3 linked regions of the Danio rerio genome follow. The main gene of each other region encodes a partner of the protein of the gene in region 3 in a complex. Links are inferred from orthologs where the notes say so. Each region holds a gene or a part of one and is shown on either strand. Other genes may lie near its edges.

Evidence for each region.
Region 1: smarcc1a (region 3) and actl6b share a complex: the UniProt entries of both Homo sapiens proteins name them as parts of the BAF complex. The link is inferred for Danio rerio from reciprocal best matches to the Homo sapiens genes SMARCC1 and ACTL6B.
Region 2: smarcc1a (region 3) and dpf1 share a complex: the UniProt entries of both Homo sapiens proteins name them as parts of the neuron-specific chromatin remodeling complex. The link is inferred for Danio rerio from reciprocal best matches to the Homo sapiens genes SMARCC1 and DPF1.

What each region holds. Positions count from the first base shown.
Region 1 is NC_133198.1:48,242,866-48,245,673, reverse strand, and holds part of actl6b (actin-like protein 6B), read left to right. Parts: intron 1-1,731; coding exon 1,732-1,812; intron 1,813-1,945; coding exon 1,946-2,041; intron 2,042-2,808. UniProt on the Homo sapiens protein: Involved in transcriptional activation and repression of select genes by chromatin remodeling (alteration of DNA-nucleosome topology).
Region 2 is NC_133190.1:16,403,011-16,407,153, reverse strand, and holds the start of dpf1 (zinc finger protein neuro-d4), read left to right. Parts: upstream 1-1,262; 5' UTR 1,263-1,340; coding exon 1,341-1,450; intron 1,451-4,143. UniProt on the Homo sapiens protein: May have an important role in developing neurons by participating in regulation of cell survival, possibly as a neurospecific transcription factor. Belongs to the neuron-specific chromatin remodeling complex (nBAF complex).
Region 3 is NC_133191.1:46,860,324-46,863,988, reverse strand, and holds part of smarcc1a (SWI/SNF complex subunit SMARCC1), read left to right. Parts: intron 1-3,196; coding exon 3,197-3,252; intron 3,253-3,472; coding exon 3,473-3,614; intron 3,615-3,665. UniProt on the Homo sapiens protein: Involved in transcriptional activation and repression of select genes by chromatin remodeling (alteration of DNA-nucleosome topology).

The sequences.
Region 1 (2,808 bases), on a different chromosome or scaffold from region 3:
AAAAAAAAAAACAAATCAACCAACCAAACCAAACTAACCAACCAAACCAAACCAACCAACCAAACCAAACCAACCAACCAACCAAACCAAACCAACCAACCAAACCAAACCAACCAACCAACCAACCAAACCAAACCAACCAAACCAAACCAAACCAACCAACCAACCAACCAAACCAAACCAACCAAACCAAACCAAACCAACCAACCAACCAACCAACCAAACCAAACCAAACCAACCAAACCAAACCAACAACCCAACCAAACCAAAAAAAAAAAAAAAAAAAAAAAAAAAACAAATCAACCAACCAAACCAAACTAACCAACCAAACCAAACCAAACCCACCAAACCAACCAACTACCCAAACCAAACCAAACCAACCAACCAAACCAAACCAAACCAAACCAAACCAAACCAAACCAACCAAACCAACCAAACCAAACCAAACCAACAACCCAACCAAACCAAACCAAACCAACAACCCAACCAAACCAAACCAACCAAACCAAACCAAACCAAACCAAACCAACCAAACCAAACCAAACCAACCAACCAACCAAACCAAACCAACCAAACCAAACCAAACCAACAACCCAACCAAACCAAACCAAACCAACCAAACCAAACCAAACCAAACCAAAGCAAACCAACCAAATCAAACCAACCAAACAAACCAAACCAAACTAAAAACCCAACCAATAAACCAACCAAACCAAACCAACCAACCAAAGCAAACAACCCAACCAAACAGAATCGAACCAAACCAAACCAATCAACCAGCCAACAACCCAAGTCAACCAAACCACCAAACCAACTAAACCAACAACCCAACTCAACTAAACCAACCAACCAACGAAACCAAACCAAACAACTCAACCAAACCCAACCAACCAACCAACTAACCAACCAATCAACAACCCAGCCAAACTAAAACCAAACCAACCCGAACCAAACCAAATAACTAAACCAACTAACCAACCCAACTAAACTGACCAACCAACCAACCAACCAAACAACCAACCAAACAACCAACAAAACCAAACCAAATCAAGCCAAACCAACAACTCAATCCAACCCAACCAACCAATCAACCAAACCAAACCAATCAACCAACCAACCAACCAACCAGTTAACAACCCAGCAAAACCAAACCAACCAACCAACCAAACCAAACCAACAATCCTACCCAGCTAAACAGATCAACCAACCAACCAACGAAACCAAATAAAACCAAGCTAAACCAACAATTAAACCAATCAACCAAACCAATCAATCAACCAACCAAATAATACCAAACTAAACCAATAGTATCTGGATGCAGCCTTTATGATGCAAGCTGAGAGTGCATCACTCAGCGATGCAGTGTCAGACACAATGCACTCAATGGAGTGAGTGACGTCACTGTGACGGGTAGGGTTAGGGGTGGGGCTAGGAGAGCGCATTAAAAAGCATTTGCATCCAGACCCCTCTCAAATAAAGCAAACCAAACCAAGCCATGCCAAATCAACAAACCAAGTTAGTAATTAGTAGTGAGGGTGTTATCCAATCTTTAAAAAAATAAAGAATCTTAAGACACAATGAGATTATATTTCTAAAATTCTGCTGGTAAATTACTTAATATTTACTTTCCATTATAGCAACTGAAATCACATGTTGAGAGTCACAGATGAGGATTAAGAGAGAGAGTGTGTATGTAATGCTGATATGCGTGCTGTCTGTCTGTGTTCTCAGGGATTGTCCGGTAACACCATGCTGGGTGTCGGACACGTGGTCACCACCAGCATCGGCATGTGTGACATCGATATCAGACCGGTAGAACAGAACAAATAATCTCCAGTCATAAATGATGTGAAGTGCATTTTGTTAGTGTTTCATATTGATGTGTGTGTGTGTGTGTGTGTGTGTGTGTGTGTGTGTGTGTGTGTGTGTGTGTGTGTGTGTGTAGGGTCTGTACGGCAGTGTGATCGTGACAGGAGGAAACACACTTCTGCAGGGCTTCACAGAAAGACTCAACAGAGAACTGTCTCAAAAAGCACCACCGGTGAGCTCCTGATCTCTGTCTGATCACTGTCAGATCATAATCTCAGTCTGATCTCAATCTAAACTCAATCTGATCAATCAATCTGATCTCTGTTCAATTTGAATTTTATCTAATCTCTGTTTGACCTCAGTCGAAATTTGTTCTGATCATTGTCTGATCACAATTTGATCTTGATCTAAAGTCAATCTGATCACTGTTTGAACTCAATCTGACCTTCAATTTGAATTGAATATGATCTCTTTCTGATCTCACTATAAATGTATTCTTATCTTTCTGATCTCAATGTAAAGTTAATCTCATCTCTGTCTGATCACAATCTGATCTCAAACTAAACTCAATCCGATTTCTGTCTAAACTCAATCCGATTTCTGTCTAAACTCAATCTGATTTCGTTCTGAACTCAATCTAATCTAAGTTTGAACACATCTCAATCTAAAATCATACTGTCACTTTCTGATCTCAATCTCAAATAATCTGATATCTGTCTGATTACAATCTGAACTCAATCTGAATGCAATCTGGTCTCTGTCTGGTGTCAGAATTAATTCTGATCTCTTTCTGATTAAAATCCAAAATCAATCTGAACTCAGTTTGATCACATGATTTTTGTCTGATCCCTGCCTGATCAACATCTCAGTCCAATCTTAGTTTTGATTTTGAGTCTGATTGCTGCCTATTTTTAGTCTGGTCTCAATCTGATTTCTGTCTGATCACAATCTGACCCCAATCAAAACTCAATTACCTCAATTTGAATTTAATCTGATCTC
Region 2 (4,143 bases), on a different chromosome or scaffold from region 3:
AGTTTGTCAACGGTAGTATCGTCATTAATGGTTTAGCTACAATAGATAATGTTGCATGTCGTAGAGACACTAAAATGCTCACACGCTTGTGGAACAATAGACCATTTTATTTTAATAGTCTGTGGAGCCCTTTAAGGTTGCAAAACAGTAGAATTTGCGCCTTATATGGTAGCCTATTGCACGTTTTCTCACGCTTCAGCTCAAACGCACATCGAGTCATTTCTGTTCCTGTTAATATAATTTAGTAGCTACAACAACTGCAACAATCTCTTTAAAAACACATCTCACAAAGTGACGTTTTGAATTACTTTGGATTGTTACCTGAAACCCAAAATAGCAAATAGTAAAGAATTTTGGACCACTTCATATAGCCTAATTTAGTTGGAAAAAATGCACTTTTGTAACAAATTTCATTTGGTATCATTTGTATCTTTATATTAATGTATTCTTGTTGGTCAGTTTATCTACAAAATAAACCAAAAGAATGAATATATCTTAGTGAGGTGCAAATAATACTTTTTGGCTTTAAAGTAATTATGAATTTAATTCAAGTAGGCCTATTATAACATAAAATATAGTATTTTTGACAATTTTCTTTTATTTTTGACAATTTGACATATAAATTACAGTATCACAATACTACTTGGTATCGTGATTCTTCAGCTGGTATAGTATTGTAGGATTAATTATTCATTTGGTAACAACCATATGTATATATGAGAAAAACTGCTTTACCATAAAATCAATACATAAATTGGTGAAATAATTGTTATAAATGATGCAGAAAAGATTGATCAGGGTTCAGATATAAATATACTGTTTATAGTATATTTATAATATACTATACTATTTAGCCCAGGCACAAAACCCATCAGAAGTCAATGGAAAAAAATGTGTATTCAAATATACATGCATCTGACTAAACATAGCACACATGCAGAAAAATGCTGTGTAATAAAATAATAATGACCAATGACTACCCAAATCTGCTAATCTCAAAGATGAAATATACAACACAAGAACGAACGGCTTGATTTTGCTGCAATCACTCTGAAACTATTCCTCTGCGAATCAAAGAAGCTACCAACATGAGGCAACAAAAAATACTGACAGACAGTCCAGCAATCCAACCTTGAATTTACAGTAGATGTTTTGGCTTACCCACACAAAATCAAGGCGGGACTAGAATACAGTTAACCGCGGTGCATTGTGGTATTTGTAGCACGCGCGCCGACGAGTCCCGACTGCTTCAGGGAATAAAAACTACATTTCCCCGCACTGACCATCAGGCAGCCGCGCTCCCATTGGCTGACCGATCCAGCCGCAGCCCCAGAGAATGAATGAAATTGAAATTGCTGCTATATTACATGTACAATACCGGGGATCTGCAGTCTTACATTGTATCATTCTATATCAAAATGGCCACAGTGGTCCAAAATCCTCTGAAATCGTAAGTAAAAAATATTTCTATTTTGATGCTTTGACTAATGCATGCCATGCAACAAACAGCGCTCGCTCTTATTCACAAATATGCAAACACCTTTAAAAAGTATAAAATGCCGGCGAGGCTCAAACTACCAATGCATGTTGAAATGCAATAAATCATAATGCATGCGACGACATTTTGTCATCTGGGCAAATGTGGCACGTTGTAAAGTGCAGAGTCTCGGGTGTCATTTCTGCATATGCACAGTGATATGGAGGAATGTTGAGAATGTTGACCCGGCGTCCCTGCTCGGTATTGATCACTAGGAACTTACAGTTGTTGCTAATGGAATCGCAGAGTTCACTGGTCACCGACTCTCTGGACAAACGATGATGATGATGATGATGCTCGAACATTTTTTTGCACACGTATGCGATGCCAAATGAAATGAGCATGCAGAAGACAACACTGGCTGTCTAGCTGCATACTAGCCAATGTTACAATTTAACACAATGTGTTTTAATGGTTACATCGCACGCGTTGATAACGTAGATTGTAGAAATGACATTGTAAATACGAAACATCAATGCTAATCCTGAAACAAACACATGTTTTAGCGTGACATTTTAGTTGCGCGTAACATTTGCTATGTCTGGTGCGCCGTTGCATCAATGCACATTCCGTGAAGTTTCCATTAGATTCCTTTGTGCACACTGACACATTTTTTCGGCGTGCGGCACGCAGACGCCACACGGGCTCAGTGCCAAAAATTGCTTTACATTCATCTGTTAGAGACGGGGACCTTCCGAGTGAGGAGACGTGTTTGTATTTGGCAGGAATATGAGACTGTAGCTTCAATATCTCATAAAGGGGCATAGCACTTGTGCCGGGTTTCCTAACCTGAGAGGTTGTATCTCCCTCCGGTAACTACCACGACTGCCTACCTTGACCCAGCACGTCTCCACAACGTTGTATTTTGGTCACAATTGAGCTCAAAACACACTTTAAAATGTTACCCAAAGGTAAAATCGTGTGTCTAAATATGTTTAATATAGTAATACGGTATCTATGTATTAATTTATCTATGATATTTGGAAATTTTTGAAGACTGATTTGGTGATCCATGGTCACATGTAATTGACATTGTGGATTGCACATCTTGTTTTTGTTGGATTTATTGTAAAAATATATACCTGAAATAAAGATTTCGCTAACAGCTTAAATGGAATATGAATAATTTTGGCTATAGTGGAACATATTTGAGAAAGACTGTTGAATTAGTTAAATTGTACTATTATATATATGAAGACTCAAATACATGTCTAAAGTAAACTTAATTCTACACAACATCCTGTTTATAAGCTGATGTATTGATATATTTCTTTTTGAATCAGTGATGGGACGATTAACCCTGCATGCTGTAACTAATAAAGAGAAAGCAATGCTATAACTAGTAGTAGACTTGCGCTACAGAGCTGAGGAGCCTGTACACCTACACGTTACACAATTCATGTGACCCAAAGCTAAAATCGTATGTCTATACTATATGTATAATATATACACATGGTATCTATGTATGTATTTATCTATGGTTTTAGATTAACACAATAAATAAATTGATAATATTGTTGTATACACATCACATAAGCTTTTTTGCATGATGGTGTGAGAAAATGTGCATGCTTTGAAAACTAATAACAGTGCACAGGACAGGGTTCAAGATTTTAGGTACAGTAAATAAGACTTTACATAATGATAATAATCTGAGAATACTAGTGTAATGTAAATGAATAATGTGTTACTATAGTGTTATTCTAACGTGTTATTAATGTGTTATTATAGTGCTTTAGTTCAGGTTTGCACAGCTTCAAATTATGTTTGGCAACTTGAGCTTGACAGGAGTGCAGAAAATATTAGGCCTACAATAACATTACTGCTCTTGTGTCTTTGTGTAGAATTTTATGCTTACTTTATCCTGTCGTAAATACAGACATTCTGAATGCATGGTGGAAGCCATTGGCGTAACCAGTCCTGGGAGAGTTAGTGCTAGATGACATTAAATTGCCATCTGTAGTACCCAATGTACACTGTGTACAAACATGGTATTCTTTGAAGTGTATATATATATATATATATATATATATATATATATATATATATATATATATATATATATATATATATATATATATATATATATATATATATATATCCTATTAGGGCTGGGCAATATGGCAAAAATGCAATCTCAATAATTATTTTATATTTATCTTATATTACGATATAAGTTGTTTAGGCTTCCAGATTTAAAAGAATACCCCTAACAATTACTGAAGCCACAAAAATTTAAGGGTCCATTAAATGGCATAATATATTTTTGGCCGATATATTTTTAGTGTCCAAAAATCTTGTACATCTCAACACACTTTTAGATTTCCATTGTTGCACATTTTTGCAGTGTGATTGGCTCCTAGATCAATATAGAGTAAAAAAGTCCATAGTTTATCATGGTTATTGACATAAATGTTATCATGATTCAATATAATATTGTTTATTTGCCCAGCCCTATCAACAATTCAGTACATTTCTATTTGCAAAACACTTTTAGATTCCCATTGTTGCACATTTCTGCTGTGTGATTGGCTCTTAGATCAATATAAAGTAAAAAAAGTTCAGAGTTTATCATTGTTATTGACATAAATGTTATCGCAATTGGA
Region 3 (3,665 bases):
CCTGACCTGAATACGTTTACATGCCAATATCCAGATATAGTTATAGCGCCACCTGCTGGCAACAGGAAATGACATGATTTACGGAGTTACAAACTCCTCCCACAAATTTTATCGTATCAACACCAAAATTGAGTGGTGTTATCTGAAAGCTCTAGCGATGATATATTGTGAAGATTTAGAGTTTTCGCAGAGGGGCGTGTCCATGGCGGTATGACAAACCTCAACGCTTCGCCATGGAACAGGAAGTCCTTATAACACAACCACACAATGTCCGATCAGCCTGAAACTTCACATGGTTGATAAACGTCATCTCTTGAACACATCCACATAACAATATTGAAGTGGGCGTGGCAAAATGACTTGACAGCGCCACCTAGAAAAATTAAACGGACGAGCCCCCGATCTACGAATCACGCACATGCACAAAAATTGGCACACACCTCAAACATGGCAAAAAATATGAAAAAGTCTCTTGGAGCCATATCTCAAACCCAACAGGAAGTCGGATATTTTTAACTTCCTGTGGCGAAAAAGTGGCGCTTTTGCCATTTTCAGACGTTGTATTTTAACGAACTCCTCCTAGGGATTTTATCTGATAAACACCAAAATTGGGTTTTGTCATCTTAAAGCCTTGGTGATGTTAAATTGCGAAGCTTTAGAGTTTTCATCGATGGGCGTGTCCGTGGCGGCCTCGCAAACTTTAATGATTCGCCACAAAACAGGAAGTCTTTATAACTCTGGCATGCAATATTCGATCTGCCTCAAAATTCACACATTTAATAACAGTCCTGACCTGATCAGGTTTACGTGCCGATATCCAGATATAGTTATAGCTCCACCTGCTGGCCACAGGAAATAACATGTTTGACACTGTAACAAACTCCTCCCACAAACTTTCCCGTATCAGCATCAAAATAGAGTGGTGTCATCTGAAAGCTCTAGCGATGATATATTGTAAAGATCTAGAGTTTTTGCAGAGGGGCGTGTCTGTGGTGGCATGACAAACCTCAACGCTTCGCCATGGAACAGGAATTTCTTATAACTCAACCACACAATGTCTGATCTGCCTGAAACTTCACATGATTGATAAAAGTCCTCTCCTGAACACATCTACATAACAATACTGAGTCAGTCATAGCGCCACCTGCTGGCAGAATGTAGTTTGTCTTAAAACACAATCTCCACACAATCTCAGATCTGCCTGAAACTTCACATGGTTGATAAAAGTCCGCTCCTGAACACATCCACATAACAATATTGAGTCAGTCATAACGCCACCTGCTGGCAGAAGGTAGTTTGGCTTATAACTCAGCCACACAATGTCCCATGTGCCTGAAACTTCACATGGTTGATAATATTCCTCTCCGGAAGACATCTACATGCCAATCTTAAGTCACAGTTATAGCGCCACCTGCTGACAGGAGGAAGTTTGGCATAAATCTGTGATTTTCTTAGATTTTTTTTTATATATCGGCTTAAATTATTATTGTTCGCTGTTCTCTGTCATCGTAAGGTCACCGGGCGGCGGTGAGCCCGGGTGCGAGGTCCCTTTCATCGCTGCTTGCAGCTTTAATTTTTTCTTGCTTTCCCTTATGCTTGGTTGTTTTCTGCACATGCTTTATGGGTGTGTCAGGCTATTTTTTTTTTTGATTCTGCATTTCATTTGTTCAACAGTTCGAGGTGTTATTCATAGACATATCTGTAAAGCCCTTAAAGCCGCATAATCTTTTTCTTAACATAAACATTTTTATTATAGCATGTACTAAAATTAGAAGTAATATAGTTATATATCTATACTTGTATACGGATTGCATGATATTAAAGGCTGTAGTAATGGCCGCTAAAATGTCACTATTTGCCAGTATTAATGCTTTACTGTATTTTTGTTTGTATACATGGAAAAACATCTCAGTTTCTCTCAATTTATTTTAGATTGATAATTAAATAAGGTGTGAATTTTTTTTATTTTACAACCAGTAAGCTTTCTCACAGACTCCTCTTCAGACCAAGAACAAAGATTTAAAATTATTTAATACAGAGTTTAACGATTAGGTGTAAATTTGCCCCTCCCTGAATTGTTTAAAATTTGTAATTAGTATTGTTTACATTTTTAGCGTTAATGTTATTTACTTTATTAAATTTTTACATTGTGTTTTGTTACTTTCTGTATTGTATAAAAAAGTGAAATAATTAGCAGTGAAAAATGTATCCCCTTTTATGCTGAAATACTGTATTTTGTCTGTTCGTTTATCGTTCTGTTTGTCCGTCTATGGTTTTGTCTGTTTGTCTATTGTTCTGTTTTTCGTTCTGTATGTCAGTCTTTTGTTTCGTCTGTCTTTCTATCGCTTTGTCTGTCTGTCCCTCTGTCCATCCTTCTTTCTGCAAGTCCCTCTATTGTTCTGTCTGTCCGTCTATCGTTTTGTCTGTTCCTCTATTGTTTTGTCTATCGTTTTGGTTGTCCGTCTATTATTTGGTCTGTCCGTCTATCGTTTTGTTTGTCCTTCACTCATTTTGTCTGTCCATCTATCATTTTGTCCATTCGTCTGTTGTTTTCTGTCCATCTGTCCGTTCGTCTATCCTTCTGGCCATCCGTCTGTCGTTCGTCTGTCCTTCTTTACATCCGTTTATCCTTCTGTCTGTCCGCCTGTTGTTGTCTATCTTGTCATCCGCCTATCGTTTTGTCTGTCCGTCTATTGTTTTCTGTCTGTCTATCGATCTCTCTGTTATTGTTCTTACTGTCCTTCTGTCCGTTTGTCTATCCTTCTGTCCGTCCGTCTATCCTTCTGTCTATCTTTCTGTCTGTCTGTCTATCTGTCCGTCTGTCTATCCTTCTGTCTGTCTATCCTTCTGTCTGTCCGTCTATCGTTCAATTTATTTTTCTATCCGTTTATCTGTAGTTCTATTAATTTTTTTTTTCAGAAAATGTCATTTGGTTAATTTTCATGCATGTAATCAGTAAAAAATGTACTGAAAAAAAAAAAAAAAAAACTAAATTATCACTATAATACAGAAACTTACCTTTAAAAAAACATTAAATGCTTTAATAGCTAATTTTATGTAAATATAAAAAAGTAAATTTAAGAAAAAATTGTTGTTTTACTGCCACTGAGGTGCTAAGGTATATTTCTGGTTTCATGTTTGTTTCAGTACACTCTGCCTAATATTTGATGTTTTAATCATTGTTTGTTTCTTGCAGAACCTACAGAGACTGAGAAAATGGACACAGACTCCGACTCCCAGCAGCCTGATAAGGTCAGATTCAGCTTTGCTGCCAGTAGCCAGATATGTCATGTGTTACGCTGTCCTGTTTACGGGTTGATTGCTATCAGATTTGTGCTTATCCTTTCCCAACTATCATTTTTGGGATTTATTGCAATGCACCTTCTGTACTTGTGCCCATGCTTCATTTGCATTTCCCCAGTCTCATGCTGTCTGACTGTCTTCTCGACATTCCCTGTCTCATCTGTTGCAGGCGGAGTCAAAGGATGAAGCAGAGAAACCCAGCGAGTCTGCAGAAAAGCCAGCCGAGACAGAGAAGGAAAAAATTGAGACTACAGAGAAATCTGAGCCACAGGAAGAGGAAGAAAGTGAGGCAGGAGAGACCAAGACAGCAGGTATAGATACTGACAGCGCCACTGAATGCTCACGGGATTGTCTGAAATCTG